3 linked regions of the Drosophila melanogaster genome follow. The protein of the gene in region 1 interacts with the protein of each later gene in a pairwise test. Each region holds a gene or a part of one and is shown in the gene's direction. Other genes may lie near its edges.

Evidence for each region.
Region 2: the proteins of Golgin245 (region 1) and CG3610 interact in a two-hybrid assay, tested with the Drosophila melanogaster proteins (one large-scale study listed by BioGRID).
Region 3: the proteins of Golgin245 (region 1) and Dus1 interact in a two-hybrid assay, tested with the Drosophila melanogaster proteins (one large-scale study listed by BioGRID).

What each region holds. Positions count from the first base shown.
Region 1 is NT_033778.4:23,371,046-23,383,850, reverse strand, and holds Golgin245 (Golgin-245), read left to right. Parts: upstream 1-6,805; 5' UTR 6,806-6,936; coding exon 6,937-7,020; intron 7,021-7,231; coding exon 7,232-7,319; intron 7,320-7,384; coding exon 7,385-7,560; intron 7,561-7,614; coding exon 7,615-7,818; intron 7,819-7,897; coding exon 7,898-11,608; intron 11,609-11,674; coding exon 11,675-11,746; intron 11,747-11,811; coding exon 11,812-11,928; intron 11,929-11,990; coding exon 11,991-12,008; 3' UTR 12,009-12,491; downstream 12,492-12,805. Other genes in the region: yellow-d2, read right to left, coding at 1,300-2,342, 2,397-2,592; yellow-d, read right to left, coding at 3,572-3,703, 3,765-4,514, 4,569-4,985; CG13551 (uncharacterized protein), read left to right, coding at 754-803, 1,092-1,236, 5,674-5,802; Ice1 (uncharacterized protein), read right to left, coding at 12,503-12,805.
Region 2 is NT_033777.3:14,840,046-14,849,258, forward strand, and holds CG3610 (uncharacterized protein), read left to right. Parts: upstream 1-4,997; 5' UTR 4,998-5,161; coding exon 5,162-6,628; 3' UTR 6,629-6,692; downstream 6,693-9,213.
Region 3 is NT_033779.5:265,870-276,002, reverse strand, and holds the start of Dus1 (dihydrouridine synthase 1), read left to right. Parts: upstream 1-4,258; 5' UTR 4,259-4,374; intron 4,375-4,376; exon of another isoform or gene 4,377-4,688; coding exon of another isoform or gene 4,689-5,342; intron 5,343-5,396; coding exon of another isoform or gene 5,397-6,545; intron 6,546-6,613; coding exon of another isoform or gene 6,614-6,811; exon of another isoform or gene 6,812-6,915; intron 6,916-8,497; exon of another isoform or gene 8,498-9,314; coding exon of another isoform or gene 9,315-10,133. Other genes in the region: CG17078 (uncharacterized protein), read left to right, coding at 1-684, 752-1,056; CG11555 (uncharacterized protein), read right to left, coding at 1,352-2,017; mbm (mushroom body miniature), read left to right, coding at 2,369-3,448, 3,497-4,036; CG3345 (uncharacterized protein), read right to left, coding at 4,689-5,342, 5,397-6,545, 6,614-6,811; CG17075 (uncharacterized protein), read left to right, coding at 9,315-10,133.

The sequences.
Region 1 (12,805 bases):
CTGCACCACTGGCGTGGACAGCGATGCCTGCGGTGGGGATTCCGGGGGCCCGCTGAGCGCGAAGCTGCTCTTCGGGTTAAAGAAGCGGGCTTTCCTGCTCGGACTCGTCAGCTACGGGGATGCATCCTGTAGGATCTTCGAAGTGGCCACGAATGTGACGCACTACGTCGACTGGATTAAGGCAACAATCGACGAGAACTCAAGTTAAAGCGTTAAAGCGTCAAGTTAGAGTCCAAGTCGATTGAGAATTTAAATTTGTTGCTAGTAAGAAATCTGCAATTGAAATATTAGTTTACCATGATTAAGTAAACAACAGAAGAAGCTTAGTTTTATTTGCAGTATGCAAAGGGTATAAAGCGTTATCGATTAAAATCGCAAGCTCACATATTCGATAGACCACGCCGACTGTGCTCGCTCTGCCGCGAAGGTATTATTTAAGGGTGCGCCTACGGTCACTCTGCAGAAAACTTTTGTCGTCGCAAAAATGTAAGTAATGTTCAAGCGCGCCGCACTTTTCCGGCATTAAATCTAGTATGTGCATTGGGTATTCGTGTATATATTTTATACAAACAACAAACAAAGAACTGGCTAAAAATAGCGGCTCTTTTATTGCGACTTGGTTTTCGAAAAAGTTCAATGCACTCCGTTTTGTTAAGGAGACGGCTTTACAGTTACTCTTCGTAATGGAGTTTTCTCAATAAATTGTATTTTCTGCGCTTCTCTTGCAGCTAAACTACTCAAGAATCAAACAGAATGTTCGTTGTACGTCGTAGCGCATCTCGTCTGTACCCCGCTGGAGTCCAGTGAGTTTCTACCCACATTTAACCCCCGTTCATAACTACCTGCTAATTGGCTTACAAGACTTAACAGAGCACTCATATCTCATTCGCCATATTCAAAGTGTTATGTATGCCCCCAACTTACACTTTCCTCAATGTTCGATAAGATAAACAATTCCGATCCCATCGAAATCGCTTTCACCCTGCGCGCATGTGTGTGTGTGCAGTCTATGCTGACTTCACTCCACTGTTGCGTAACCGCACAAAACCAGAAGATTCTAATGGTTCCCACCGCCATTTTCCGCTCCACAGGCTGGCCAAGATGAGCGGCAGCCAGGTGGGCGACCTAGGCAGTGGCGCCGGCAAGGGAGGCGGCGGCGGTGGCTCTATCCGCGAGGCCGGCGGAGCCTTCGGCAAGCTTGAGGCTGCCCGCGAGGAGGAGTACTTCTACAAGAAGGTGAGTGACCCAGAAAACAACTTATTTCATCATTAGCTTTATTGAGCAGCAGCGGGAAGCGACTCAGTTGCAAGGCCTGCCGCTGAGCAGCTCCTGAACACCGCACTTCTGTATGCGAAAGTTTATCTCCTTGTAGTCCAGACCCGCTCCGAAGGCTTTCTGCAGCCGATTCGACAGCACCCACAGTTCCTCCTTGCCCTCGTGGTTGCGCACTATCTTGAGTCCACTGGCGAACTGCAGTCGCTGCTCATCCTCCACCAGCATGACCAGATTCTGATGGCTGTAGCCGGTGCGAATGTTCCAGGCCAAAAGGCTGGCCGGCTGGACCAGGCCGCAGATCAGAAAGCCGGACTCGCTCATGGCCGCCGCAACGCATTGACTTCCCCGCTTGCCCAGCAACTGGAACTGATCCAAGGCAGCGCTCACATCGTTCAGCCGCCAGTTGCTGCCGTTGTTGACCACATCCAACGGAATGGCCATTTGCCACTCGCTGGACAGAGAGTGGAAATACATCATCCGCCGGCCACCCAAGCCGTGGGGCGTTAGAGTGGTAGACACCGTGCCGTCCCACAGCTGGAAGCTCTCGCCTGCTATCGTGAATGTGCCGAAGTCTGGATGAGGATACGTAAACTTGTTCTCAATCCGCCACGACTGCTGGGCTGCCACGTCATACACCACAATGCCGTCTCCAATGGAGTCCGCCATGTACACGAATCCCACATCGCAGTTGTGCGGATCCAGCTCCACGGTGGGCGTGACAAAGCGACTCACGCCCTCCTTGTACAATCGCTTGGGCATCTTGTACTGATGCGCGACTTTTCCGCTTTCCAAGTCAATAGCGTACAGCTGCGGCGGGCAGTGCTGAATGAAGTCGATCTCGCCGCTGTCCAGGATCCACATGCGCCCGCACTCGTCTATCTGTGTGCGGTACACCGAAGTCAATCCATTGCAGTCGGCTCCGTGGGATTTGTGCCACTCGTAGCTGGGATAAGCCTGCAGGAGAGTCCCGTTCGGTCGCATTTCGTTTGTGACGTAGGCCAGAGAGTATGGAACGCCCTTGGCAAAACGCGGAATGGTCACGAATATCGAGGGTGTGGCATCGCCATCTAAATGAGAGAGCAAATTAGGTAGGCTTTTGTGCTGAAATGGAGAACTCCTACGCTTGTAGTAGACGTCCACATCGATGGGGATCACGCTGCCCGGATCGTATAGTCCATCTCTCAGCGCGCGCTGTCTTTCCTGCGGCGATGGAAACTCCAGCTCCAGATTGTAGGCTCCAAAGACACTTTCCAAGGCCTGGGCGGATGCTGCCAGCCAGCACCAACAGCAGACACCGAAGACAATCCAACGCTCCATGCCGTAATCCTTTCACTTTCGCGACAACTGTTCCACTTAAACACCGAGCGGATACTGCACATGCGCGTGGAGCTGCGGGCCCATGTCTTTCTAATCCAGCCAGCCACTCAGCAGGCTAAGCGGGTCAGCTTTTGTAACTGGTTTAATTGCACACCCAAAACTCTGTGCACTGAAATTCTGGTCGAGCCATGGCAGTTTGTTTACTGTTCACTGGTGTCCACCTCGGAAAACAAGTTGCTGGTGCTGGTATTGGCTAATTATGCACGCCGCCACCCATTTGGACCGATTGCTCGGTTCGTCGCCCCATTAAGTGTGATCCATTATCCAGTCAGTACAATTTAGTTCCCAATCCAGTTCCAATCGATGCTGCTGATGCCCGAAACGGTTAACGTCACTTGATGGCGCTGAATCAGGTCTAATCTTAAGCCACTGCGGCTTCTACTGGCCAGTGGGATTCGTGCGTGACTAGACTGTTGCTTGGGAGTACAGACTTGGGGCGATAACAAGTGACCCTGAACTTTGCCACAAATTGTGTGGCGCAAGAAATTTGAAAATCAAAATAATACAGTAAAGCTTCGGACGCATGCATTCATAGGCCAAACATATGTAGAAGAAACTCCAATTCTTCCATTTCTCACAATAACTTTTATCAACTTTTATAGTCAACATTTCTTTGAAAGTTTGTAACCGAAAAGTTAGCTTTCTCAAATCAGGTTCATCGTTTTATGCGCATTTATATGGTTTGTTAGCAAAGTAAATTTAAATATTTCGCTGTCGTAAAATTTAAATTATTCAAGGGAATGAGTACCACAAGATGGTTAATATTTACACGTCATATATATTTCTTAGGCTTTGCGGAATCTTTACAATTTCAGATAGGCTGTTATTAGCACTTAGGCGGAATTCGCAACGATCCCCCAGTGAAGTGCACAACAAAACTAATATTTACATATATTAATTAAGTGGATTTGCTAAGTCACTAGCTAAACACCAGGCGATTGGTTAGATCCTCGTCGTTGGAGAAGAAGACGCCGCCCTGGACATCATCCAACTTGCGGCGCAGGATGCGGAAGTTGACCTCCTTCGAGTTCAGCGTACCTGCGGCGATTTTCTAAGGGAACAATCGTAACAATCAGTTTACGGGGCACACAAAAGCCTGCTGAACATCAAACCTGGTAGCGATTGGAGAGCATCCAGAGTTCCTCCTGCCCTTCGCGGTTCCGCAACACCTTCATGCCGCTGACGAACTGCAGGTCATCGGACTTGGCTGGCAGATTGCCAAAGTTTCGCGAATTGTACGGCGAGTTCACGTTCCACACAAAGAGCTTGACGGGATTGAAGGTGACGCAGTAGACGTTGTTCCTGCCATCGATGGCGGACGCGGCGCACTCGCTCCGCCGCCTGCCTAGCAGCCTGAACTCCTCCGGCAGAGCCTCCGGCCCGTTGGCCCAGTTCTGCTGCCGGTTCAAAGCACTCAGTGGCACGGAATACTCACTTGCACTGGCCAGCGGATGGAAGTAAAGATTGCGCTTGTCGTTGTTCAGTGCAAACATGCCGTCCATCAGGTAGAAGCTCTCGCCTGCTATGGTGTGCTTGCCGTAGTCCGGATCGGGATACATAAAGCGGTTCTCAGCCCGCCATGATGTCTGCGCCTGGTGGTCGTAGACCACCAAGCCATGATAGCTCACATCGGCCACATAGATCATGGTGCGACTGCAGGTTCCCCTAGGCGGAGGATCCTGGACGAGTACATTTGGCGTGATGAAGAGCGATCCACTCGGGATGTATGTGTCGTTCGGGAAGCGGAAGCGATGCAGCAAGCGATCGGTGGCCAGGGCGAACTGCAGCAACTGCGGCGGACACAGCTGGGTGGTTCCAATCACACCCGAATCGATCACCCACATCTGGTTGCACTCGGTGATCTGGAAGAGATTCAATGTAGAAAAAACTTAGCTGTCCGAACATTTTACACTTACAGCCACTCTGAATGCGGATGTTATGCGATCGCAGTCCTCGCCGTTGGCATTGTGCCAGGAGTAGTTGGGATACGGCTGCAGCAGCGGGCCATTCCTGCCCTGCGTCGCTGAAACGGTGGCCAAGGTGTAGGGAATGCCCGTCACGAAGCGCGGAATAGTGGTGAACAGCCTGATCTGGCCATTGGCCATGTACTGTGGCTGCACATCGATGGGAGTGCCGTTCTCGGGCACCAGATTACCCGCCGCCTGAGCGTTCTCCCGATCCTGCGCCGTGGGAAATCCGAACTCCAGCTGGCCCCACTGCGTCAGCGTTTCTACAGTGCGCACGGGACGCGGTCCATTGACACCGACGCCATAGCTCTGGGCTAGCGTCAGCGAAAAGGCGATCAGCAGTATCCGGAGGGGCATCATAACCATTCCGCAGCAGAGTCGGATGGTAAATGTTCTGTTCGAACTAAGGGCAGCTGCTTATCAAGCAAGTTGGTTCCTGAGGCGTTGATAAGTGGCAGAGAGGCAGGCAGGCTGGCTGGCGGAGATCGAAGAGTGTGGACCGCGGCCTGGCTTTGTCTACTTGTTGACGACCAATTAAGAGCAAGGGTCTGTTGATATTTGGCCAGATGCGGCCTAACAATGCGGAATAATTTAATACGGTGACCCCGATCTAACGACACTTTCTTCGACGTCTCACTTCGGTAGCCAACTATCAACTGAAAACAGGCTTTTTAGCTTGGTGGCTTGAAGACGAGCAGGCAGAACGGCAGACAATGATTCAGGTTCATTGGCGGCAGGTGGTTTTCCCCCGATCTTTTTCGCACTCTTTACAGACTTCCGTCGACTGTTTGTCGTGGTCATTCAGGCGATATCCGAACTTTTTGTCTGCCCGTGTGACGGGTTCGGTCTGAAAATTGTTAACCAAATATTGTCTCTTGTAGTAAAGCCTCTTATATGGCTGGCAGCTAATGATGACAGTCGATCAATATTGATGGCAAGCTTCAGGGGTGGGCGGGCTTAGCTAACCAGCAATTAGCTTTTTACGACTTGCTAGCACTAATTGTATTTCGCACCGGCTAATCGAGAGAATCCATCATTGTTCGTTTCGTTGCAGCAAAGGGAGCAGCTGGATCGCCTTAAGAACGACCAGATCCACCAGGCTGAGTTCCACCACCAGCAGATCAAGGAGCACGAGGAGGCCATCCAGCGCCACAAGGAGTTCCTCGAGAACCTGCACAAGTGAGCGGTGATCCATCCACCGGCAGAAGGCGACCGCACGGACGGATGAACTCGAGACATTTACTAAAATGCATTTCACTCTCTTTTGTATGTTCCCAAGTGCTCACTACCACTTACCAGTAACCCAAAAATTATATATGTATTTGAAAAGTGCGTAATAAACCATCCATATTTTGAATGCTTTAACTAGAAGCTCATCTTTAGCTCGTGCTGGAACAGGTTACTAAAGTTTATGGCCGCTTCGTTACAGAACCAAAGCAATAAAGTTCGTTGATGTGTTTCTTTATAAGTTATTTTTCAATTCCTCTTCGTTAATAACTAAGGCCTTATCGCCTGCCGTTATAATCGACTAAAAATCAATTAACTTAAAAAGAATAACAACTTGTAAAAAATAGAATTTATGAAAAGAGTGTATATTTCACGTACAAGAAAACACAGTTATACGAACTATTGCGCGGTTTTTATAAATAAAGAAGTGCAATTTAAACGTATGCTGCATTATCTTCGAATAAAAACAAACTGTAGGGTGCTTAACTAAGCGTTTTTGCCCACAACATGAGGATTCCTCAAACACGAGCGGCTACTTAAAATGCTAAATCATTGCATAATTAGCAAGTTTGACCAGCTTTCATTCAGTTTTAGCGTGTAAACAGTTCATTATAGTAGTATTGTTAGAAAAAATTGAATACATCATACCTAGGAACTTTCTATATATCTATATTTAAAGAATTGAAAGGGCGTTCAACAGGCTTCCAAATATTTTTAAAGATAACCTGCGCCACCTGTGGAAAATATCTTGAACCAAGATGGTATTAAAAAACATGGAGGTAGGTATTATCAATTATAACTAATTAAATTGTTACTTTTGTGTGTATTAAATAAAAATTACATTGTACGTAACATTTATTTATGTTTATTAAAATTTTTCGTCACGTTCATAAACTTAATGACCCGCAGTTGCGTTCGTCCCTAATGAATACTGCGCTTGTTATCGATAACTCCCGAGGCTATCGGCAGTGTGACCGTTGAATGAACATCTGCAGACACGTATTTATTTAGATGTTTTTTAATTACAAATTGAATAGTGCTTAAACCAGGTAGCGCAACCAGTTGAAAAAGAGCGCAGCAGGCACTCGAAATGTTCGCCAACCTGAAGAACAAGCTGATCGAGGAGGTGAAGGCGTCGCCCTCGAAGTTCCAGCAATTTGCGAATGCTGCACAGGTATTTTTGTGTGCGGGGGCGGGGCGGTGCTTATTGCCGATGAAAAATGCAAATTGAGGAAAACATACGCACACAGACACGGAATTGCATGTGTGTCGGTGAACTGGGAAGGGGTCGCCTTCGATTGTGCGATTGTGACCCATTTCTGGGTGCACAAGTGAAAAGTGAAGTGACCAGCTGCTCATGAGTCTTCCTTGGACTTTTTTCCCAGGCCGCCGTGAGCTCATCGTCGAGCACAACACCCAATTCGGAAACGAACACCAGCAACAATGAGAACTTCTTCAGCATCACGGAGGAGGGTGAGTACGCCATGAGTCACCTGGGGTTCCTTATCTCACATATCAATCCATCTTTCACCGCGCAGACACACCTCAGAACTCGCCTTATCGCATCCAAAAGCTGCCGGCCACAAGTGCATCCGCTCTGCGCGGACGATCGACGCAATCCCTGAACGGCGCCACCTCCAGGACCCGCAAGCTCTCCAACTCGTCCATGGCCAGCGACGTGTCTTTCCGCCTGCCTACATATGAAGCGCCAGCTGTAAGTGGCCGAAAAGTCTCCGAGATTGCTTTAATTATGTGTTCTACTTTCCAGGTGTACCACTTGCAATCTGATCTGGACGAAACGAGCAGCGAGTTCGACGACTCCGCCTCAACGGCTCGTCTGGATGTGATCACCAAGGACCAGCTGTACGATGCGTACAAGAAGTCACTTGATCGTTACCACAAGTACCGCTGTCGGTACACGGATCTGGCCAAAAAGTACAAGGAACTGGAACGCGACAGCTCCAAGGCGCGGGTATCTATCTATCTGCCTATCTAATCGGTCTGCTTGATAAGCTTGTGTAACGAACATTTCCGATAATATCGCTTTGCAGTCTGTGCTGGTGGAGACGCAAGACAAGGCGCTGCGCCGAATCAGCGAGCTGAGGGAGCAGTGCACGCTGGAGCAGCAGGCCAAGGCGCATTTGGAGGAGGCTCTGCGCGTTGAGATGGACGACATGAGCTGCAAAATGCAGGCTTATCAGACGAAGCTCCAGCTGCTGGGCGAAAATCCTGAGAATATTACGGCGGCTCTGGAGAGAAGCGGCCAACAGCTGGAGTCCGAACAGCTAATCGACCTGGAGGAGTCGATCGGAAAGTCGCCCCTGTCCACCAATGGCAGTTCCGGTGTGTCCGACTTACAGAGATTACTTAAAGAGCGGGACGAGCAGCTGAAAAGTGTGACCGAAAAATACGAAGCTGTGCGCAAGCAGGAGGAGGAGAACGTGCTTCTTCTGGCCCAGACAAAGCAGGCCATCCATACGGAATTGGAGCTAAAGGACACCGAGGTGCGTAAGCTTCAGGAGAAACTCAAGCAATTGGAATCTCAGCGAGAGTCCCACAACAACGAAGTCAAGGAGCAGTTCAAAAAGCTTCAGGCCACGAAGCAGGAAGTCGATGCCAAACTTATGGCTACAGAGCACCTGCTGAACACCCTAAAAGAAAGCTATGCGATCAAGGAGCAACAGGTGGTCACACTCGAAGCGCAACTGGAAGCCATAAGGGTGGAAAACGAACAGAAAGTAAAAGATCTGCAGAAACAGAACGAAGATCGAAATACCCAAGCAAGCGATTCAAGCGAGCAACTAAAGAAACTTCAAGCAGCCGTTCAGGATGCGGAGTCCCAGCTTTTGTCCAAGGATCAGCTCTTGGAATCTCTCCGAAGCGAACAAGCAGCCAAGGAGCAGCAGCTAAAGCATCTGAAGGAGCAGTTGGGTAAACTGAAACAAGAAAACGAAAATTACTTAGATAAATTGCGAGAAAACAAGAAAAGTAGCGATTCTCAAACTAACGAAGCACAGGATCAGCAAAAGAAACTGCAAGCAGCCAAGGACGAAGCCGAATCGAAGCTCTTAGCCACGGAAGAACTTTTGCACTCCCTCAGGAATGATTATAAAGCACAGGAAGAGAAAGTCGCTTTGTTGGAAGACAAACTGAAAACTCTTTCCAAGGAAAACGATGTGAATGTAGAAAAATTGCACCACATTAATGAACAACGAGAAGCTCAAAGTACTGATTCCCAGCAGAAGATCAATGAACTACGTGCAGCTAAGGACGAAGCCGAAGCCAAACTTCTTTCCACTGAACACAGTTTGAACGCACTTCAGGCCGCACTCTCGGCCAAGGAAGAGCAAGCGGCATCCTTGGAGCAAAGCTTGAATGCGCTTAAAACCGAAAGTGAGCACAGTTTGCAGGACCTGCGCTTGCACAATGATCAGTTGCTCGAAATTGTCCAGCGTCATCAACAAAACGACTGGGAAGCTCAGCTCGCTCGGGCAAGAGAGGAATTGGCAGCCATTCAATCGCAACGGGAGCTCCATGCTCTCGAACTCGAGAAGAGCCTGGAAATGGAGCGCGAATCTGTGGCCGCTTTGAATTCCGAGAAAGCCTCCCAGGAGGAACAGCATAGGCTTAAGCTGGAACAGCTACAGCGAGAGATTCAAATACTACAAGATCAGCACGCGAACTCGGAGAGCGAAACAGTGGCTGCACTAAAAGGGCAGTTGGAGGCTCTTAGTCAGGACTTGGCCACCAGTCAGGCCAGTTTGTTGGCCAAGGAAAAGGAACTGAAAGCCAGCGGCAACAAGTTGAACAAGATAAAGAAGCAACACGAGCAGCACCAGGCGAAATCAAGCGATCAAAGCGCTCGCCTCGAAGCTCTGCAAAGTGAGTTGGCAGATCGACTGAGTCACTCTCGCCAGGTGGAGAGCGAAAAGGAGGAGCTGCAGGCACGCGTCACTGGAATTCTGGAGGAGATTGGCACCATGCAGGCGCAAATGCAACAGGTGCAAGACTCACACAGCGAGCTGGAACGGGAGAAGCGCAAGCTGGAATCCCGCATCGAGTCACTGCAGCAGGAGCAAGTGGACAGCAGTGCCCAGGACGAGAGGACCTCAGCTAAGCTGGAGGAGATCCAGAGCGAAAACACCAAGCTGGCCGAACGCAACTGTCTGCTGGAGGAGCAGACGAATCATTTGGAGTCCCAACTGCAAGCCAAACAAGACGAGATCGGCAAGATCCAGGCGAAGCTGCAACAGGTGCTCGACGAGCACTCGAAGCTGCAAAATGCCCAGGAGCTGATGGATCACGACCATCGGACGCTGCAGGATAAATGCGATGCCTACGAAAAGGATAAGCTGCTGACCAAACACACTCTGGACTGCCTGCAGTCGGCCAGTGAGGAGCTGCATAGGGTTAAGGCTAACTTAGATCGAGAACTGAAGGAGCAGGACCAACAACTGTCGGAGCTGAGAGAGCGACAAAGAGAACAGGAGCAGCAGCTGAAAGACCAAGCCGAACGATGCGCGAAATTGAAGGCCCAAAACAGCGAAAGTGAGACCCAACTGCAGGCCACGATCAGCAATCTTCGCGAGCAACTTGATGCTTATAAGCAGACAGAGCAGGGCATTCAGGAGAAACTGCAGGCTACCAATTCGTCCTACACCACGCAAATTGCCACATTGGAAGCTCGCTGGAGCGCCGCCAACTCAGACGTAGAGCGTCTTCACGAAGCCAATGATGCCCTGCAGCTGGAGATGGAACAGTTGAAGATTAAGCACGGCCAGGAACGCGAGGAGGTGAAGGAGTCAATTGCCCAGAAAAACCGTCAGGTGGTGGAGCTCCAAGAAGCCATGGCCACAAGGGATCGTCAGCTACAAGAAAAGATTGAAGCCTCCGAAAAATTGGCCAAATTCGATGAGATCCTGATCGAGAACGAGTATTTGAATAAGCACACGAAGCAATTGGAGGCCGAGTTGGCTGAGAGTGCGGAGCTGAAGGAGAAACTGAAATCCCTGCAATGTGAATTGTACGTTCTTCAGGAGAAGGCCGAGCAGCATGCCGTCCAAATGGCCGAAAAGGAAACGCAGAGTGCGACAGCAACGGCAGAGGTGTCCGAACTGAAGAAGGCCATCGAGGAACAGGCGGTGGAGCTGACCCGCCAGAAGGAGCACGCCAGCTTTGTCACCGAGCAGAGTGATGCGGTCCAAAAAGACCTTCTTCAAGCGCAGCAGCAACTCCACGATAAGCAAATCGAATTGGCAATGAGTCGGGATGAGCAGGCCTTGCTGCAGGCTGAAGCTGATGGCTTAAGGCAGGAGGTGATTTGCCTTAAGGAGCATTTATCCCCCTCAACCGACTCCGACAGCCTGCGCAGCCTGAACGAGCGACTGCAACGGGAGCTGGAGGATCTCAAGCACAAGAGCGCCGGTGCGGAGTCCAATATGCAGCAGGAGATCGAGGAGCTGCAGGCTAACAACCAGCAGATGGCGGAGCGCATCAACGAGCTGGAAACCCTGCGAGCCGGCATACAAGCCCAGCAACTCCTCGCCAGCATGGCGCCCAAAAACGTTCAGGAGGCAGCCGCTGCCGGCGAGAAGGCTGAACTGGAGTCTAAGCTCAAAGAGATTATGAACGAGGTGCAGGACGTGACGAATCGAAACCTGTTCCTGGAGCAAAAATGCGAGAACTTCCTCATACTCGAACAGTCCAACGAGCGACTTAAGCTGCAGAATGCGAAACTCTCGCGGCAACTGGATGAAACCCTGGTGAGTCCATAGCAGCGGTGCACCCACCCTTTGATTCCATTGCTGATTCCTTTCTCTTGCCGACAGGTATCCATGCAACACAGCGAGGCTGTTCCGGCCAACACGGAATTCGAGTACTTGCGCAACATCATGTTCCAGGTGGGGAATCAAACTAGATAATGTCCAAATATATACTCCCAACTAACTGATATATTCCATTTCAGTACCTAACTGGGAACACGAACAACGAGACGCTTGTCAAGGTGATATCGGCAGTGCTCAAATTTTCGCCGCAGCAGGCCCAAGTTGCACTGGAAAAGGAGCATCAGCGGCGATCGCTGGTAGGGAAGCCCATTTGAGTTCCATATTGCATCGTTAACTAACCCAATACAAACACTTGCAGCTGAACAAACTGATCTAGCATGAACTGATGGCTCTCTACGGCGGAGATTGGAACTGGGAGCCCTGCCCGGTGGCGCTTCTAGACCGCAAATGATGTCGGAGATCACAAGTACCTTATACTTATACCTCACCCTCGCGCACGGCATGGGTGCTTCCGGCTGACTCTGCAGGCATTTCGAGTAGTAGAAGCCGCTGATGTATGTGTATGCCGCATCCTAGATCCATGTTATTGTACAGTCCACGAATTAAGTATAGCTACTTCTGTCCAAATCCACGCTAAGCACTTTTGTACATTTTGATTACGCTTTCCTTTGTTTCATTCACTTGCTTGCGCTCCATGTCCCATGTCCACGACTTACCTTAACCCCAGCCTAACCTAAGTGCAATCGTTTTGTGTATTTTAGTTGTAAGTTTAAATTTGTAAAGATCCGCAGCGCAGTTGGCATTTAGTTTAATTCAAAATCTATACAATAACATACATAAATAAATAGTTACAATTCATAAAAGGGAATCTCAAATCTCTGTACGCCGCCCAGTGGCCGCCACGTGACGGAAGTGCCTCCTCCGTTTCGCAAAGCATCGAATCATGGCCCGCGTTAACGGGTCGAGCTCGTAGTTGGGCCTGTAGTCCTTCAGGGCATCCAGAGTGTACTTGAATCCGAATCTCTGCAGACGTAGGCTGGCCTTGACGGCCGCCAGTTGAACTCCGGATCGTGGCACTGCCACGAGAAGGCGCTTCAGGAAGCCTACGAAGGCGGAGATATCAGTATCCAGGGGCAGTGGCTTCAGTACCAAAGAGATGCAGTGCAGCAGAAG
Region 2 (9,213 bases), on another chromosome or scaffold:
TCTGCAAATGAATATGAATTAGTTTAGTTGCTGAAATGTATTAAATTCTTTAAAGGGAAATTTATAACTATCCTGAGTAAGTAATTGGTCTAACATCACATCGATATTTCCCCAATAAAGTGCACACATGGAAATTTATTTGGCTTGTGCTAAAAATACAAATAAAATCACGCTCATAAATTGTAATTTATGTTGTAAGTTGAAAATGTCTGGGGTTCTGGATCTTTTTCACCTCTTTTTAATCTCGGTCAAACTCTAAATCCGGCGAACTCCATTGTTGGCTCTGCGGTTTGACTTGGGTGGGCGTTGTAACCGACTTTTATATGTATACGATTGTTGTTTGTGTTTGTACCTAACATATATCGCTGGAGTAGTTGGCTGTTAATTCCGCACATGCGGCGCACAAAGCGCTTTTCGTTTTTGGTTTATGTCTCTACATTGGCCGGCTATAAAATTTATGACAACCAACTTAATTCAATTTCAGCCATGTGTCAATCAACGGCTGCATTTAAGTGGAAAGTTATGTGCAGCCAATCGAAGTCCGTACAGTGTGTGTCATTTTGTTTTGACACATTTTTAAAGCCAACATATACAACAATGGCTTTGTAAAAACGCCGTGCGCAGCTAAAATTGATTTTTAATTATTTACTACGAAACTAATTTCAACGGAGACTTTGAAACAAATGAATTTTACTTGTTTATAAGCCACAAGAAATAGAATCGATTTTGAAAGGCCATTTGACTTAACCTCTTCATATTTCCCATGTGTAATTTGATATGTCAGTTCATCATTGTCAATCGAGGAACATTTAATTAAAGGCGATGTCAATCCACATTCGAACACTAAATTATCTGGCCCCTGTCAACCATAATTGAGCGCTGAGCTGCACCTGTTGAGGCCAATTTTCAATCGGGCAACAGTTTTGGCCAACAGACAGCCAACCTGACCCACTCGTGTCAAAGGCTTCTCAGAATACCGGAGCATGTGATTCCAAAGCTCCGATACCAAAGGCCGTACATCTCGGTGCAACAGGCAAATCAAGTATCCGCACCGTGCGCCCCATGTGGCTCGGGAAACGTGCTCGGGTTCGTGATCTCGGACGGCTGAATGCTGGGCATTAAAAATTGATTGTGATGGAAATGACAAAGGCACATTCAGCCCACCACTACACGTGCAAAAAGAAATACCATTCACACACACGGTTCTGGTCCGATGAATTTAATCTATTTCGAATGGATATGCTTAGATATTAAAAGTTACATGTGTTGTTACAGAAAAGTCTTATACCACTCGAATAGCCTGTTTTGACAATATAAAATGTAGACTGTTGATAACTTTAATAACAATTGTTGCTTATATAAGATGAAACTTTTTCCCTGTGCACTCGATTCAACATCCCAAACACGCGACCACAAATGAAAGTGTATCAATTTTATTTGCCATTCGGAAATGCCAAAATGTGGCTGTTCGGCTCGATGGAGCGACATCAACATAACTCCGGGCAACAAAGAAAGCGGGCAATTTGGCAAAAGCCACAAGGAAACAAAAACCCTGACATTGCCCCCATCGATTTGCATTTTGCCCAGAGAATGAACGGCTGTTTCGTGTGTGTGGATGACGAATGTGCGTGCGATTGGCATCGCATTTGCTGTTGCCGCTGCTATTACCCATACGCACTGTGATCACCCGAAAATACTGAAGGGGGCAAACTGAAAGTGGCAGGGCGACCGGTAATTGGAAAATCATCCATTACAACAGGCTAATGGAAACTCGGTAAAATTGTCGCTAAATTCGATTAAGTGTGTAAGCATCGAGACTTTGATATCGATGAAATGCTTCTCTACCCATCCTCGCATATCATCCGCCCCTCCGAAACCCACTTGTTTGTATCGCTGTTTTGGGTTTGACTGATTGCCTCCGTTGGCCTTTTTGCGCCCCAGTCTGGTTTCTGGCCACCGCCGCAGTCAGCCCGCGCATAATTATGTAACTCAATTTGTTGGCAGGCCCGGGCAAAAAGGCCATTATTTATAAACACAATTTAATTAAAATTCATTCTGTGTCTTGAACCAGAAACATCCATAGAAGCATAACGTTAGCATACAAAGCACACAACAATTTATGAATCGGAGGATTGCCTTCTCCTGGTTTAAGAAGTAACAAGATTTAACAATAAATGAGGTGCTCTGGAATATCTGCTGACCTGCATAATGATTTTGTTCCTTAACAAATCTATCATCGGGCTACCAATAAGCTAAATGTATTTGATAGATTTGTTTAAGTGTTTTCCTAGTCTTCGTAGACAAATTATTTTCTGAATTTTCAATTTATTCATGGTTCCTTTTATGGAATTAATAGATAGATATTTTTTATTCATTGAATAGACGAAACATCTGTGCAAAAAATTTCCATTTCAACTTCCTAATAAGAATTTTCCTGCTTTGTAAGAAGCTCCAAAACATGAAACTATGAGTAGCAAATAAATTCCTGAAAGGCAAATTGATATTTTCATTTTCAATAAAACATAAACGCGACCTCAGGTCGTGCCCCAAGTGAACCGTCTGTTTGTTTGTATGGAAATTATATGAAAATTGCACTTGAAACTTTGTCTTGAGCTGTCTGCCACTTGCAGTTGAAAGTTTTTCCGTATTGCTGCCGTCCTGCATCTTTTTTCCGGAAATTATTGATAGTCCCGTCTAAAGTTACGAAGAAATTTCAATATTAAATGGATTCAAAGTTAAAGTGTATAAATAAAATAAAATCATCTGCACAAATCCAGCAGTCAAGTGCCTTCGAACTAGCCACGGGGGCCAAAGGGTCAAGGGGATAAAGTTTCGTTCATGTGGTTGCCCAGTGGAATACAAGAAACCCTATATGACCACTATATATGCACGGTACATGGCGATTCAAGCACTTTGCCATTGTGTACATTCCTCACTTGTCCGACATTCCAGGTCAACAAATAGCGAAAGGCTTGCCTTCGCTTGAAAAGGGTTCCCTAAATCAGTAGATATCAAAGGATGTTACAGGTGAAATAATATCTCGACACTACTTCTAACCTAACGTAGGTAGTATGTAGCTTGATTTAAAATCTAAATAAAACCCTACCCTCTCCTTTTTTTTAAGCATTTACATTCGAGACACATAAATGTTAAATACCAATGAAAAGCCCCGCGAAAAGTTCGTTGAACCAGACATGGCAAGTTTCTCTCCGAAGATGGTTTGATTAATTGACGATGACCTGGCTAAAGACTTAATGCCGAACTTCCGTGCGAGTGGCAGATATACTTATTATATCAATTAAGGTAAGCAACAATGCTTTCTATTGTCCCCCCCAGTCCAGCGATTCTGCTGTCTCATAGGGTCGGACCGCCACTTTCCATCATCCATCCAACTTAATGTGCAATAATGAGTGTCATGTAATGCCAGACGCGTTCGATTCGAATTGCCAACCAACCAACAAACAAACAAAACTGAACTCAACTCAAACAGCAGCTGCATTGGCGGCTAAAGGAAAATAAAAGAGAAAAACCCAATGCAGCATTAGCAACGACAACAAATTAACATTTTTCAAAACTTTAAAGCCCCGACATGCGTTGACACTTTCGGGGAAAATTGCGTACAATTTCAAATGCAGGCACAAAACTTTACGCGTAATTACGACACTGGGGAAAACAGGAGGAAAATATAAATGGCAATAAGGGGGGGGGGGGGGGCACAAAAAAAAAACAAATAAATAAAACAAACCGCTGGCAAATCGCGTTCGCTGCGCCGTTGACAGTTGTAAAATGGAAAGGTTATCCGGACCCTGGTCGGCAAAAACCATGGACAGCCAACAAATGCGTCGAGGAAAGTGCCTTCGGAAGCTGCAGCTGCTACTGGAGCTACTCATGTCCCATTCCCCATGCCCCCCCGCCACGAACTCAATCCCCTCCTGCCACAGAGACTCCGCCAATGAGCTTCTGTCGTGGACAGTGACTGATGGTCTGGGAGAGCTCCGCTCTTTTCTGCCTCCAATGATTACGATGATGATGAAGACGGCGATGACAGGGCAGCATTTAACCAGCGCTCAGCAGTTAGATAACTATATATAAATTATGGAAGCCAGACGATAAAAATCCTCGACAGATCGCTCTAGAACGTCTACCATAGTTTATAATTCTAAATATACGTATGTTGAAAATGTTTGATTGCAATTGTGAACAAATTATAATTGGTTTTATCTTATTTTCCAATATACTCAGTATTCTGTAAATAATTGACTTTTATTTAAATACCTTTTTAGCTCAATAGCTGTTTTAAATTCAGGAGAAATATTATTTCTATTGAGTGCAATGCATTCGAGCTCAGAAACTCAATCGTTTAGCTCGGTTGTGATTTTCCATACAAATTCGTATGCAAATTCAAAGGTATATATAGCCAATAGTCGGGGCAACAACGCGCTCGCAAGGGAAGCACTTGAGCCTTACTTTGATGCACATATCCCCATTAAGTTGGCCCCCGTCGAGCTTGTGGCTCCCAATGCGGCCATGCAGTAGGTGAGAGAGAGAGAGAGATCTCTTGGCCTCTTGGCCCAGAACCCACTCAAATATGCTAATCCACTGGAAGTCCACACAGACCTCCACAGACAGCCCACAGTAGAGTGCATGTTTCTGAGCTTCAGGAAAAGTAGTTGCATAAAGCTACAATGCCTTTCCAGAATCTCACAGAGGAAGTAATTTGAAATTACGGAAGGACAGGCTTTCAATTACGGTAAGCTAACTTACCGATATAAAGGGAACATTCTGTAATCGTGGGCAATTGACAGATTCTGTCAATGACAGAAAATCAAGAAAAGTGGCTTTATATTCGCAGCTTAAAAATATTAGCCAGCTCTTATCTGTTTCACTTAATTCTTCATAACATACTTGTAATTTGAATTAACCTGAATATTATTTTCTAAACTTATTTATCCAGCTGAAAACTGTCGTTTTTTAATATCTGAAAATTTTCTAGCAGTCTTCAGTTAGTCAGTAGATTTCGTTAGGTTACTAGCACAAAAAAAAAACATTTTGAGTGAACTAATACCACTCAAAACGCCTTGACATATCACATATTTCATTCCCAGTTAAATTTTCCTAAGTAATTTCTTTAAAAGGAAGTGGTTTGTTTTCTTGAACCACGATGGAAAATCTCCAACCGGAGTCGGATCGCGTTGGCCATATTGTCTGGGATGAACCGGGAGCCTCGATTTTTGCCACCGCCTCCCAGGAGCCCGTACCGAATCTTCTGACCGAGTTCAAACCAATGCCGAAGGGCGAGGACGACTGTGTTTCTGATAAGGATGTGTGCCGCATTCTTACACAGTCGTCTGTCGCGGAGAGCTCATTGTTCCGAATGGTCAAACACCAGGTGGACGAAGTGGCCGCCATGCTCAACAGTCACCTGCATCCGCGCCAACGGAAGGAGCAAACCGATGTGGATGTCACCCTCGGTGTAGCAAGGGAACTGGCTCGCCAGCAGGTGGAGGCCAGTAGATGCCTTCAACTTCATCGCAATGTGGAAAATTTGAGGGATCTCGAGATGGAAGTGGCCCGTGCCCACACAGCGTTGGCTGTCAAGAACAAGATCACCAACAATATCAAACAAACGGTGGAAGATAAGCAGCGGGAGCGGGCCGAAGCTTTGGCGGAACAGCGAGCCGTGGAAAAGGAGCTGAAGGAGGAGAAGCAAAGAAGGGCTCAGAAGGCAGCCGTGTTTCGTAGAGATCTAATGGCCCAGATTACCGAGGGGCGTACCAAGCGGATACAAGATCATCGAATAGCTGTGGCCGAGGGTCGTCAAGAGCTAAAGGAATGCAAGGAGATAGTGGAGCAGGGAATCCTAAAGGATGCAGTTACAAAGGCGCAGCAGCGCAAGGTGCTCCTCGAATCCCTAGACCAATCGGCAGCCATGTTGAAGCAAACCCGCGAGGCCTACGCTCTGGCCCAAAAGAATAAGCCCGAGAGAGGACTCCTTGATGCCCTGGGACCCGTTACGGCGGCCTATGTGTCAAAGGCACGGAAACGACGCCTTGATGAGATCGAGGCCAGGGACATTAATGCCGCTCGGCTGGGCTTCCAGCTCAGCCAGATCAAGCACGATCTGGAGTCCCGAGATCAAGTCATCACCAGTCTGCTAATCCGCGAGCACAAGGCCAAGGAGAACGCGAAGGCCTTGGAACAGGCTAGAACCAAAATGGCCAAGAAGCAGGAGATTCGCGAACAGCTCCTCAGCCAGCGGGAAGAGCAGAAGTTCTTCCGAGATAAGGGTGTGCAGGATGCCCTGGTCATGCCCAAGGATCCCATGTGCTTCGGCGAACGACAGTATCGAATGCAAGTGGCCCAGCGGGAGAACACCCGGCGCTTGGATGTCCAATGCTACCAGGACATGGCCCACATGGTCGTGGAGGCCAAGAATAACAGGAAAGCCGCTGCCCAGGAGGTGGTTGACATTGTACAGGAGGTCTACAACCAACAGAATCGCCAGGATGAGCTTGTGGCTATTGAGCGGATGAAGCTGCTCTCCAAGCAGCCACCTGAAGTTCTTTCAGCGCTCAAGAAATCCATTCTCACCGAAGAGGAGATCAAGTCTTTAAACCTTAAGAAGTAGTTAATGAGTTTTCATTTAATACGCGCTAGATGCCCGTATTAAGGCTTGTAGAAACAAAAAATACAAAAAAGTACTTTTTGTTTTTTTCTTCGGGTTATTATTAAACCTACGCCCCCCTGGATGTTGGCTATTATTTATCAAGTATACTACCTCATGTGAAGCAGCCCACTGGCACAGGATGTGCTTAATTTTCCATTTTGCTGCTCTGCACTTTTAAATAGACTTTGCTGGCGCTGCCGGGATGGCAAATGAAATTCACTTTCTTATCCATTCTTTGGCCAAGCTTTTGCAGCAGGTCAGGTTTCCAGGTTTCGTACTCGAGCAACCGGTTTACCGACATTGCAGCTGGAAATTTGTTTACAATAATACGGTTCGAACGCACGCAGATGGGAGCGTAAGTGCACTTTGAAACCGGGCTTACATACATTTCCTTTACTTTCCATTTCTGGACTCATTAGCCGGCTGCCGGAGGAGACAGGTTTATATTTCATAACTGGCTGGCGAAGAAGGCTCAAGAATGTTGGCAAAGTCAGTTTTTTGGCAACCATTTTGGAGCACTCTCTTGACGACCTGCGGAAACTTTCCCTGGCAATAACTTTGGCTCCAAGTTTCAGCTTCAATGTGCAGAAAAAAAGATATATTTATGCTTTCAGTACACTGTAAACTATCGAAAGAAACTCTTTTTGGGTGCTGCGAGCTCAACTAGTTCTATAAACTGTAGTCATACTATTAAAATGAAACATGCTAGTTGTACTAACCAGGAAATTAGGGAAATTCTTGTTAGATCAATGCTTGGTTTCTTTCAGTGCAGACTTATAGAAGCGACCAGCACAATCACAACCCAGTTTCTGTTTCAACTTAAGTCTGCTGAATGGTGTGAGGTTGTTTTGTCTTTTCGACTCTGGTCTGGTCATAGAGGAGCAGCTTGGTTGGCAAACTTTTTATGCCGAAACTTTTTTTTTGGGCCAGATCTTCAAGTTGGCCAAAAAGATGTGAAGTTGTGTGCACAGGCGTGTCTGCAGCTCTTCCACCTGGAAGAGCGTTACTGGCTCTAATAGGAGTTGAGTCGTCGTGTGGCTGCAAATGTGTTTGCATTGCTATGAAATTGGAAACGAGATCTGCAAAAGTTGAGTAATTGAGCTGATTCTGCTTCGTTGGTCACTCGAATCGAAGAACCTTTCCTCCAACGTATTCATGCCACAACAATCATCTGGGGGCCCCATTTTCAAGCCAACCCAGAAAGGGGGAACATTGAGAGAAAATGGGTTGGTAAATAAAGCCTAGGCCAATAAACATTTTATACATTAAATTAAATTATTAATTTTAAGCTACACCTCATCATTCTGGGTTATCCTAATATGCTGCCTTGACATGAGAGTTGCACTGATCTTCCCTTAATTATTGTGACTAAAATTGTAATATAGAATATGCATTTATTTATTATTTATGACTTTTTCCTCTCTGCAGAGGCAGACCAAAAAAGGGAACAATGAAAGACAGGCTCTGAGACATTGAATGCGAGTCGGAGAACAAAGCAATAAAAGGCCCGAGAAGTGGGTTGTTGTTAGCTGTTTGCTTGCCATGCTGGGAATGGAAAATGGAAATGCTAAGGAAAATGAAGGAAATGCAATGTCGTTAACATGGCTCGTAGGTTTGGCTTGCTAGCTCGGTTGGCTGGCGGGTGGAAATAAGTCAGGTTGGCAGCCAGTATACGCATATGCTTGACACGGAAAATGCAGTGGCATTGCATACTAATGTGCCCAATGCCGAAAGACAAACGGGGGAAATAGATGCTCATAAAAATTACTTTTGGTGGTTATAAAATGCCATCAGCCACTTCCATTTAAAAGCGGACTCTTGATCTAAAAGCCCACGCAAAATGCAGCCCACAGATATCGGTCGAAGTGGCTGAAGTAGCATATATCTCACGATTATCACGTGGGCGCCGAGTGAAAATTGCGTGCAATTATCCAAAGATGATATCAGCATTGGCTGCCGTAAATATATGCGATCCATTATTATGGCCCTTGGGGCAGCGATTTGTTTGTGTGCTTTCTTAACGCTGCGATTCGAACTGGTTTCAAGCCAATCGACTGCTATAAATAAACAATTATTTTTAATGCAAAGCCAGCGAATGCGACCGCAGCAGACACTATCCATGGTATGTCGCCATAGAGAATAATAATGGTAAGTAAATAAATAAAATTATTGTGGTCATTTAGCAGACGCACTGGAATAGTGAAAATAAAGTTACACGTAGTGTTTGGTTTAACTGTAATAATAATAACAATAATATCTGCTTATATTTAAGGTAATTAAGGTTTTTTAGCAGAGGTATTAAAAGCCTTTTTTATTTTAACTTACTGGACTTCTTATGATCCTTTCATAATTATTAGTTAGTAAGTGGATGTAAGTGACATTTGCCATACAGACCTGGTTGAGTTACAATAAGCGCTTAACAAATAGATTACAAAGTTGCTTTAGTTTTATCGGTTAACCCTTGTAACCGACGACATTTCGTAAGATTTGAACTTCTACCTTTAGATAGCTAATGTATCCGTTGGCTGTGCGAATCAATAATTAAA
Region 3 (10,133 bases), on another chromosome or scaffold:
AGTACCCCGACTCCTTACTCGAAAAAGACCGCGAGGGACAGTTTATAGCCACCACTCCGCAATCGCTCATATCCAAGATGATCAACCGTAACAATGCCCTAAACAAACCCCAGAAACGCGGCAGCTCGGGAACCTTTGAGATCCACATCCCTAATAAAAAACGAAAATTCGGAGGTGGTGCTTCCAATGGTGATGCAAAATCGCTGGCTCTTAACAGGGATCTGGAGCACAAAAAGGAGTTACTAATCTCCAGCTACCGAGGCAGTTCCCCACTGGAACAGTCCGTCATAATCGAATATATGAAAGAGTGCTTTCCGTTGCAGCGCTCCTTTTTTAATAACAGCGAAAAGATCCCAGATATAACGGCCATTAAGGACAATTGGCCATATATTTTTGACAAGGCTGTGCTGTACCAGCACTTTGAGCTGCTTATGTCCATCGATCCCCGGGCTCTAGAGAAGCGCTTGGCTACCGAAAAGGATCGCTTTTTCAGGTTCTTTAAGAGTTCAAAGAACAAGAAGATCAGCTCTTTGGACGAGACCAACGCTAATTTCCTGCGTGGCATAGCGTACTATTTTAATGAGGATCCCGACTACATTTTCAAGCACCTCGAGAACAGTTCCCTTAGCAAGGAATCACTGCAAAGCACGAATCCCACAAACGCCCCCTGGGTGGCTCTAGTCAGTAAGTACACAAAAATTAATATCACTAAAAGTGTTTAAATACTTTTAAAATATTTATCTTCCCACAGATTCACCCATAACAACGGCCGACGGCGTGGAATCGCAAATGGAGGCGAAGGTCTACATTGAAGGCCAGATAATGGCCACATTCGCCGCCAAAGACGAAGACCTGCCGGACATTCTGGCCCAGTTAATCTGCTACTACTATACCTTTAACATGATGTACCCTAAGGAAGCCAATCAAACACTCGAATTTATCGTCGTTTACTTTCTGCAGCACTCGCCGGAACAAGTGCGATCGGCCAAAAAGTCTGTGACCACCAACGGCAAGTTTAACCACCTCATCGCCAAGCTTGCCAATGTACATGGCTGAGATTTCATTTGGACGATTTTTGGCTGGAACCATGGCGCAGCGAGCGCCACTTCAATCTCCTCTTGCTCCTCCCAACGGAGGAGGAGCCGAACTCTGTTTAGTTTATTTATTTTCGCCGACCTATTCCACATGTATTTGTACCACTATTTTTAAGATTTGCATAAAGTGTGTAGTAATGTTGTGTATACATTTCTGATTTGTCACCCGACAAAGAATCTTTTATTTATTTTTTAATTGAAACTTCATGTTTTGCCAGTTGGGGTTGTGAAGTCACCTAAGGGAAAATAAGCTAAACTTATTCATTATGTGGCCCTTTCTGAAACGGATTTCTCCTATTTGGTCCCTTCTTTCGATAAGGATGTGCATTATCTCGCATTTTCTGAAAGGGATGGCTACCCTTTGCTTCTTTCGCATTTGATGATTTCACATTTCGACGTGTATGATTCGAACGTTCTAATTCGAACTTGTCCTTTGTCAGCTGTCTATATTTCAAGTCCTTTAGGGCAGATTTAAGTGTTGCATTCTTTTTCGTTAAATTGAAACCCAAAGTGAGTTGCTTTCGGAAAAAGTTCCGCTCCTTAAAAGTGAAGTTCTCAACGTCCGTGGAGAGCTGTTGTTTTCTTTCCGTGGAGGGCTTCTCATCGTTGAAGGGCTCCCATGTAGTATCCTGCGACCGGTTGGCTTCTATGACATTTCGACGGTGGTTCTTCTGACGCTGCTGCATGAACTGCCTTGCGTCCTCGCTGTCCACATCCTGGTGTCCCCGGTCCGAAGAATCCGTAATTATGTCGTTCTTCACATGCTGCCAGGGCGTCGCAGTAGCTTGTGGAACGAGCGCTGGTTTCGGTTGGACATACTTCTTTGGCTTGAACTTGGTTTTGCCCCAGTCCTTGGTGCGGCTCTGCAATTGACGTTCATGGCGATCATTATCTTCTGTTTTCTTCGGATTGGTAGAATTCATAGCGTTGTTATTTGTGGTTAAACTGAATATCGTCCATCTGACCATCTGAGGTGCCAGTTTGAGAAACTATCGAATCTAGCTATATATGTTAAATCTTATAAAAACCTTCCATTGGTCACTTCACATTTTAGTCCATTACATGTATTATGTCACATATTGTCACAGTATTATATATATATATTATATTATATATAAGGTATTCAAACTTAATATACATATAATGAATAGCAGTTTTGGCTTGAAAGAAGCCACTTCGGCAGTCCCACCAACAATCGGATCTTATCGATAACCCCAATCGGCTCAACACGTGCGCCGCAACTAGGCGGTTTTATAAATATTAACAATTCCATAATGCACAACAGTGGAGGACAATCCGGCTGGAACCTTTCAGGAGAGGAAAGAAAACCGTTTTCGAATTACGGCCGCAACAATCAGCAGAGGCGCAGCAGTGGAGGCGGGGGAAGAGGCAGCCACAGCCAAAATCGCGCCGCCAATGGAAACTGGCCAGACGCTGGATCGGAAGGTGGGCAGAATGGAAACGCGTTTAACAAGTTCAGAGATCCCCAACAGGAGCTGGATAATCATCAGCCAAACAAGAGAGGGGGCCGAAGAAATAGAGGCGGTGGCGGAGGAGGTGGTGGTTGGGGTGGCAGGCGAGGGAACCGCGGCAGAGATTCCAATAGGCGTGGTGGCCGTAACAACTCGTGGCAACCTAAGGATCAGCATGTTAGTCCTGGCCAAAGTAACATGCTGTACTTCGATAATGTGGGGGACTTTACCGAAGACCCACCTCTGCCTCGATCCTCGCCTGCTCCCTCCTCTCTCAGACAGGAGAGCCTGCCACCTGTTACTTTCGCTGCGGACTTGACGCCACCACCACCTGTATCTGTTGCACCACCTGATGTGGCTGTTACGCCAGAAGAACCTACTGTGCCGCTAATCAATATCAAGAAGGAGAAAGAAATGGAGCACAAGTCAAAAATAAAGCAATTTGTCAAAGCGGAGCCCAAATCTCCTAAAAAGAAGAAGGTTAACTCCTCTAGGTCGTCATCTACTTCGGGAGAGGAGTCTGAACCCGAACCAGGGGAAATGGTAGTCAACACTAAGGCAGTGGTGGTGCCGTCCCCAAAAGCGAAGGCCATCAAAACACCTGTAGCATCAACTCCGAAACCAAAGGCTGTAAAACCAGTTTCGTCCTCCGACTCCTCAACTTCGGACAGCGACACCGATGATGAACAGAGTCATCCGCCGGCAAAGAGTAAAAAGATGGAAAAGAACACCGAGGAGGATGTTGTCTGCATGGGCTCTCAGGAGCGCCAGTTTACCATTACCGATGAGGAGGAAAGCACCGAACCTGAAGACGACAAGAAGGCCAGAAAGCAAAAAAACAAGGGTAAAACCGTGGATGTGTGTGGCATATGCGACAAGAAGGTAAATATTTTAAAAGAATGTTACCCAATTTAAAAAAATCTCTTCCAGGGCCACACCTCCTTCCAGTGTCAGATGATATGTCGTAATTGCTCCGGTAGTTATCATGGTCTCAAAAACTGTCCAAACCCGCCCAATCTAAATATTGCCATCCAGTCGTTTGTGGAGTTTGCCATGCAGCAAATGACTGCCTTTCATTGCGAGCAAGGATTTGGATTTCCTGCTGGCACAGTCACAGCTCCAGTTTCAGCAAAACCCAAAAAGGACAAAAAGGCGTCAATAAAAAAGATAAAGAAGTCTTCACAGAAAAGGATGAAGGTGGAGCCGAAAGATCATGACGAAGAAGATGACGAGGAAGATGACGACGAAGATGAAGATGACAGCAGCGAGAGCGATGACTCGGAGTCCAGCGAAGAGCCTCACCCAGCTCCTGTGTCCAAACAGAAGCGGAAACGAGGCACCAAAGCCTCCGTATCGGCCGCAGCCAGTCTACCTCCTCAAGTGTTTCCATTTCCCCTTCTAGGCGCCCCGGGCGCCCCTTTTAACTCCATGATGTATTCTTATAGAGCTCCGTTTAATTTTTCTAAATAGTTATAGCGTGAGTTAGTTGTAAAGGAACGTGAAAGATAAATACATTTTCAATACCAATGGATTTAGTTCTTTCATTTTAATATTTACGGAATTTAGGAATTACGCCTCTGTTGTTTAAAACGAGAATGAAGTTGAATTAATTTTTGTACAATACATACCGGGGAATAATATCGATAACCAGGGCAGACCTATTTATCGAAATGTATCAGCCGACGCAGCCCTGGTTTTGTGTTTTGCCAGCTGTTGCTTCCACGCTTTTGAATAAAAAATCAAATTAATAGTGTTTACTAGGAAAAACGTATGAAACTCAGTGAAAAAACTTTGCAAAAAACTTTTGGGTAAGTGTATTTACCTAAATTTATTGGTTTTCTACGATTAAATCTCAAGAGCTTTGAGTTTTTAACTAAAGGATCCAGGTGTCTGATTTTTAAAGTTATACTCAACTTATTTATAAGGAAGCATTTTAAACGATAAAAGAAAACATAGTACATAAATTTAGGACATCATATTGAAAATGAATATTCCTGGACTCTGAAGTATGTAAGTGCCTCGGAAACGAAATATACAAGTAATTTTTAGGGCTACTTCCCGCCAGAGCTAAGGCATCCTGCTTTAAGATCAATTTTCCTTGCCCTGTCTGCTTGACAGGATCCTAGGGTATGCAGAGAGCCAGGGTCTCGCGTTCCTGCTCGGTGCCGCAGGACACTGGGTGATTCTGGCCCCGGGGATCGATGCCTGGCTTGAGCATCGTCTGCTGCAGCTCCCAGATGATTTCACACGACTGGACGCTCACGGCCAGCTTAAGCACCGACTGATAGTTGAGCGGATTAACCGCATAGCTGAGGATACCCCTGGCAATCTGCTCGAACAAATAGTTCCTGTCAAGCAGAAGGAGCTCCTCTCGTACCTCCATCATACGGTTTTCAAAGTGGCACTGAATCGCTGCAAATACCAGCTTGTCCAGACCCACCAATAGATCCCGCTTAAACTTCACCAGGTAGTGCTCTATGAACACGATCTGGTTGCGATTTAGATGCGGCAGGCGCACCTTGTCCTGTATTACCTGTTCGCCGATCTGGCTGACAACCAGAGAGGCTAATGATCCCGCCGGAGTGGCCCGACGTTCGCTGCACGGGCGGACGTCCACGAACGGATGAATCTCGTAGCTGCCCACGCCAATGGTGCTGGCTACACCGCTAAATGATACATGGGAGGCGCGCGAGTGGTTTTTCGGCTGTTTGGCCATCGACGGAGGCACTTCCATGGCTTTGTGGTCTCTGGCGAATCCAATGATCTGATAAGCTTTCTGCAGGCGGAATGAATTAGTGGTATGTCAAGAGGGACTGCTATTAACACTTACGTAGTGCACATATTTCTTTGCATCGCAGACAAAATCCTTAATGCGCGAGATCAGCACCTGCAAGGCACACTCATCCTCGCTGAGATCGTCGTTTAAACCAGAAATTATGTAGTCCAGTATATATTGTGCCGCCTTATAGATGGGGTCGTCTGGTGCGAAGCTGAGAGCGGTCTGACCCTCCATGGCAATGGCTGCATTCAAGGCGTAACAAAGATCACTGTCTAACAATCCCTCAAAGGTGGCCTGATACTCATCGCAGAATGATGGCTTGCGTTCCTGAAGTGTCGACTTCTTCTTCTTGCGGCGCTTTCTTTTGGGCTGACGAGCAGTGATGGCCTTTTGAGCTCTTTCCTTAATCTCGTCCTGAATCCGTTGCCACTTTTCTCTGTAATGAGCCTTGTGCCTGTCTATAAACGCCTCTCGCTCTTTTTCCACCTCCTGCAGGAGGTATTCGATCCTACGCTGATTAGCAATTCGCTCATCAAGTCGCTTCCTCCACGACTGAATCTGGTGCTCAGTGTTCTTTACCAGCCGTTGTTTCCTCAGGATTCGCATGTTTTTGTTGAACCGATCCTTTTTGAACTGGAAGAGCTTCTTCTGTTTGATCAATAGCTTTCTCATCAAATCCTGGCACATGCTTATGTGGGCAGCTACACGCATGTTTGTCAGCATCTTGCGGTGCTCCAGCAACATATTCTGCATGGTGGCCAGGTTCTCTAAGCGCTTAAACTTCTCATATGTGATATTCAGCAGATGGACCTTTCTTTCGTGGCGTTCCTGCTCCTGTAGTTTCTTTCTGGCAAGAACCTCCTCAGTGCACTGGTGACGGGCTGCGAGATTCTGGTGATCCTTTTTTGTGATGGACTCCGCGTTGGCGATCAGCATTCGATCATATTGCTCCGACTCGCGCCGCTTGTATGCCTGCAAAATGTAGTACAACTGCGATTTGTGCAGCTCCTGGCGATGCTGATTGAAGTCCTTCAGATTGCATATTACATCGTTGTCCTGCGTTATCTCACCGTTTTCCCTCAACCGCTTCAGATTACGCTCATTGGAGTAGAACGTCTTTAGGTTGGAGTCGTGTAGCGGATTGTACTCCGGGATGTGTTCGGTAACGGAACACTCAAACTCCTGTTTACCGCTCTTGAACTGGTGGATATGTATGAATGATGATGATAAAGTAAGGTTCTAGCTGATTTTCTACTGGTAGCACTTACGTCCTGTCCGATCTTGTTCTTGGAGAATATGACCTGATTGCCGGGACATTTGAGCATTGGCAGCTTGCAATTAAGAGGGATCAGCTCCCATCCGGGTAGACTGTTGATGGGTAGTCCAGTCTTGTAGGAGATCATCTTTAGCAGGGCCGGGTTTCCGGACACCTTATTTCGCCGCGGCAGCGACAAAATATCGATCATCTTGTCGCTCTAAACTTACAGTAGCCTAAATTATTTGTGCTTAACATTTACTCTCTGAGCGTTCCAAGAAAACTAATTTCGAACAGTGCCTTATGAAAATGTAGTAGCCCCGCCTACTTTAACAATATTCTATACTTTTTCCCTGCCGATTGTATATTGACTTTAGTCAATAGTTTGCAATATAAAATATATATATTCTTAAGCAGTCTCAACAACCGTTTTATAGCTATCTGCATGAATCTGTGGTCCCATCCTAAGAGGCCGAATCGGGATCGAAGCTGTCATTACCCTGGCTCCAGCAGATTCCAGGGCGTTAGTTCGGCTTACATAAATCCTCGGTTGACTATCCTCCTCAATATTTCGCTGTCTCTATCCGGGCTTATGTTCCACCCGCTTTTTCCGACCGCTGACCCAGTTTGGCGTCCGTGGATGATTCTAGATGCGGGCATCTCGGGCATAAATATTTACCAATCGTTCGGTCCGGCGCCAACATGTCTGCGTAGGGCTTTCCTTGGAAAAGAACACCCACTCTCACTAGCCGTCTTCCATGTAAATAAAATCACATCAAGTGCTGAAATGTACTTGCTGCAGCACGTGCTCCAAATATTCTCTCGAGTGTACTTTCCATTTCATCTAACACCTAGGACACCCCTCTTACTTTCCGACCCCGCTGCCGATGGAATAAATAAAAAATGATGGTGGCATCCGAAAACAGGCAAACTTATGCTGGAAAATGAAAGGTGCGTGCCAATCGCTAGCGGTCGTCTGTGTTCCTATTTCCATTTAGCGTTTCAAAATAGTTACTTCCTCCTGTGATATGGGTCCCTAGGGATGGCTGCGTGAGTCATTCGGCTAAATGGCTAGTTAGTTTTGGGAATCAAAAGTAGTGCTTTAACTTTTATTGAGACAACGTTTATAGACATGTGGTACACACAATGATAATATAATAAGTGGCAGGCTGTTTACCACATTCGTTGAATGCAACTAAGCAGACAGTTATTAACAATATGTCTTGGCCACATATCAATTCAGGCCTTTGACTTGTAACGTAAATTCTGATATAGAATTTTAAGTAAATTGAGTGTGGGTGCCCTTTTTCTTAAAACCCCCTTGGTGGGCCAATGAAAATCCTCTCCCGCTAATAATTTTCCTATGACTTACAATACCGGCAAAACCGCACACAGCTGTCCTCAACTCTCCCTTTCACCCTCCTCTGGTTGCTTGCCACTATAGATTGAAAAGCGTCGTCGTTCAACTGGTAGGCTTTTTGTTTTCAATCAGACGAAGCTTTCGGTTCGGTGTTTGAGAGCGACTTCGAACCACGGGAGAGAAATTGAGCTTAGAACACTAGCTTACATAGTTCACTGTTTTTTAAACCCATCTGTTTCTGTTTGACAACAGAAAAAAGCAACTCCGTTGCTTTAGCAATGCGAAATGGTCGTCAAACCTGGTCGAACATAAGGGAGCACTGAAAAAAATTCTACTTGAAAATGTAAATGTAATATATTATATAAAACTTATACGAATTTATGGAATTCAGCATTATATATAAAGAAGTACGTTTCACTACAGTTTCCACTATCAGTTTTGCACTTAATGTCGTTATTTTTCTGAGTGCTGCAGCACCGTTCGTTTTAAATCAACGATACGAGCTTCCAAGTTGGTTACTCTGTGCGGAGTTGTTTCGTTTGGTCGCGTCGGTCGAAGGAGTCGGTTGTTCGTTTTCGTGCGCTCAAGTAACGGTAAGCGCGAATGCCTTCGCCAGTTCTACTGTTATTTTACCTCGGGACGGCTATGCGTCCCTGCGTCCCTGCGCTTTCCTGTCTCTGTGTATGTGTGGGAGACAAACAAATAGCAAAACGAGAAGGAAAACCATAGAGAGGAATTCCGCAAAAAGGGGGGTGGCGAACATCCTGTTTTTCTGCGCCCGCTGCCAGAGTAACCACCCCCTCTCAGGGACGACAACAACAAAGTGGACTTAAGCGAAAAACGAAAATAAATATACGTACGAACCTATAACTGCGCCATTTGTACTTCGCAACAACAAATGAAAATATATAACTATAAAATTGTGTGTATGTGTGTGACGGACGGAGAGAACAAAATCAACATAAAAAACTGTTGTGGAGAAGATTATTTATAAAAAGCTTCGTCCGTAAAAATAAGCCAATCGAAGGATGCAATATTAAATGGCAGGCAAAGTGAAGTAGTGCAAATTTAAAAGAAGACAATAAAAAGGCAACAACATTTAATTGGACTCTAAAGCTACAACTTCAAAACTGTTTAAGGATGCCTAATACACTTTTGTAATCCGCAATCAAACCATTAAAACATGCTGCAAAATCGGTTGGGAATTATATGAATTCTTCCCATTTCTGGATTGCATCATTCGTCGAGGGCGTGGTCTAGCATTAAATGTAATGTACAGCTGTCAAGCAGGTCCTTTCATCATTCACACATCATCATCATCATCAGAGCCATTATCTCCAGGCCCAATAACACAATGTCCACAACAGCAGCTGGACTAAAGTCGGGACCCAAAGGAGCCTACGGCGTCAGGTCGGAGACGGATCACATCATAACCATAAGCACTGCCGGCTTGACGGAGTCGCACAGCGAAAGTCCCGCAAAGGGAGTAGTGACTCCAGTACGGAAGCCCCATTCCCTGGGAAGTGAAGATTCCCCAGAAAATATAATTCCGGGTGAACAGGCTGAGACAAATAAAAAACCCCTGCACTTGTGCCGGCTCTCGCAGCTGGTGAGCTACCAGAGTAACATCGCTGATGTCCAGCACCGGAAGGGTAGACGACTACACGGATTACAGCTGCCACTGCATCCCCTCCAAATTTTTGGTTGGCTCGTCCTCCTCCTGTTTGGAGTGGCTAGCTACTGGGTGCTCATTCCGGCCTTTCATGCCCGCATACAAGGACCGCTCTACGGACTAATCACCGGGCTCTATCTGGTGCACATCGCCTCTCATTTGACGGCTTTACTGACAGATCCTGCGGACAAGGAGTTGCGGCGAGTGCATCGCAACGATCGGATTGTCCCAGAATTTGACCGGTCGAAGCACAGTCACGTAATAGAAAACGGGAGGTGCCATCTGTGCAACATCCGGACCTCTTCGAACCGCACCAAGCACTGTTCCGTGTGCAACAAGTGCGTGGGCAAGTTTGATCACCACTGCAAGTGGCTGAACCACTGCATCGGATCGCGTAACTATGTGGCCTTCCTGATGTGCGTGGTCAGCGCTGTGGTGGCCACCCTGGTCATCGTGGCCGCGGTGGTGGCCCAGATCGTTTTTTACTATATCCAACCAGAC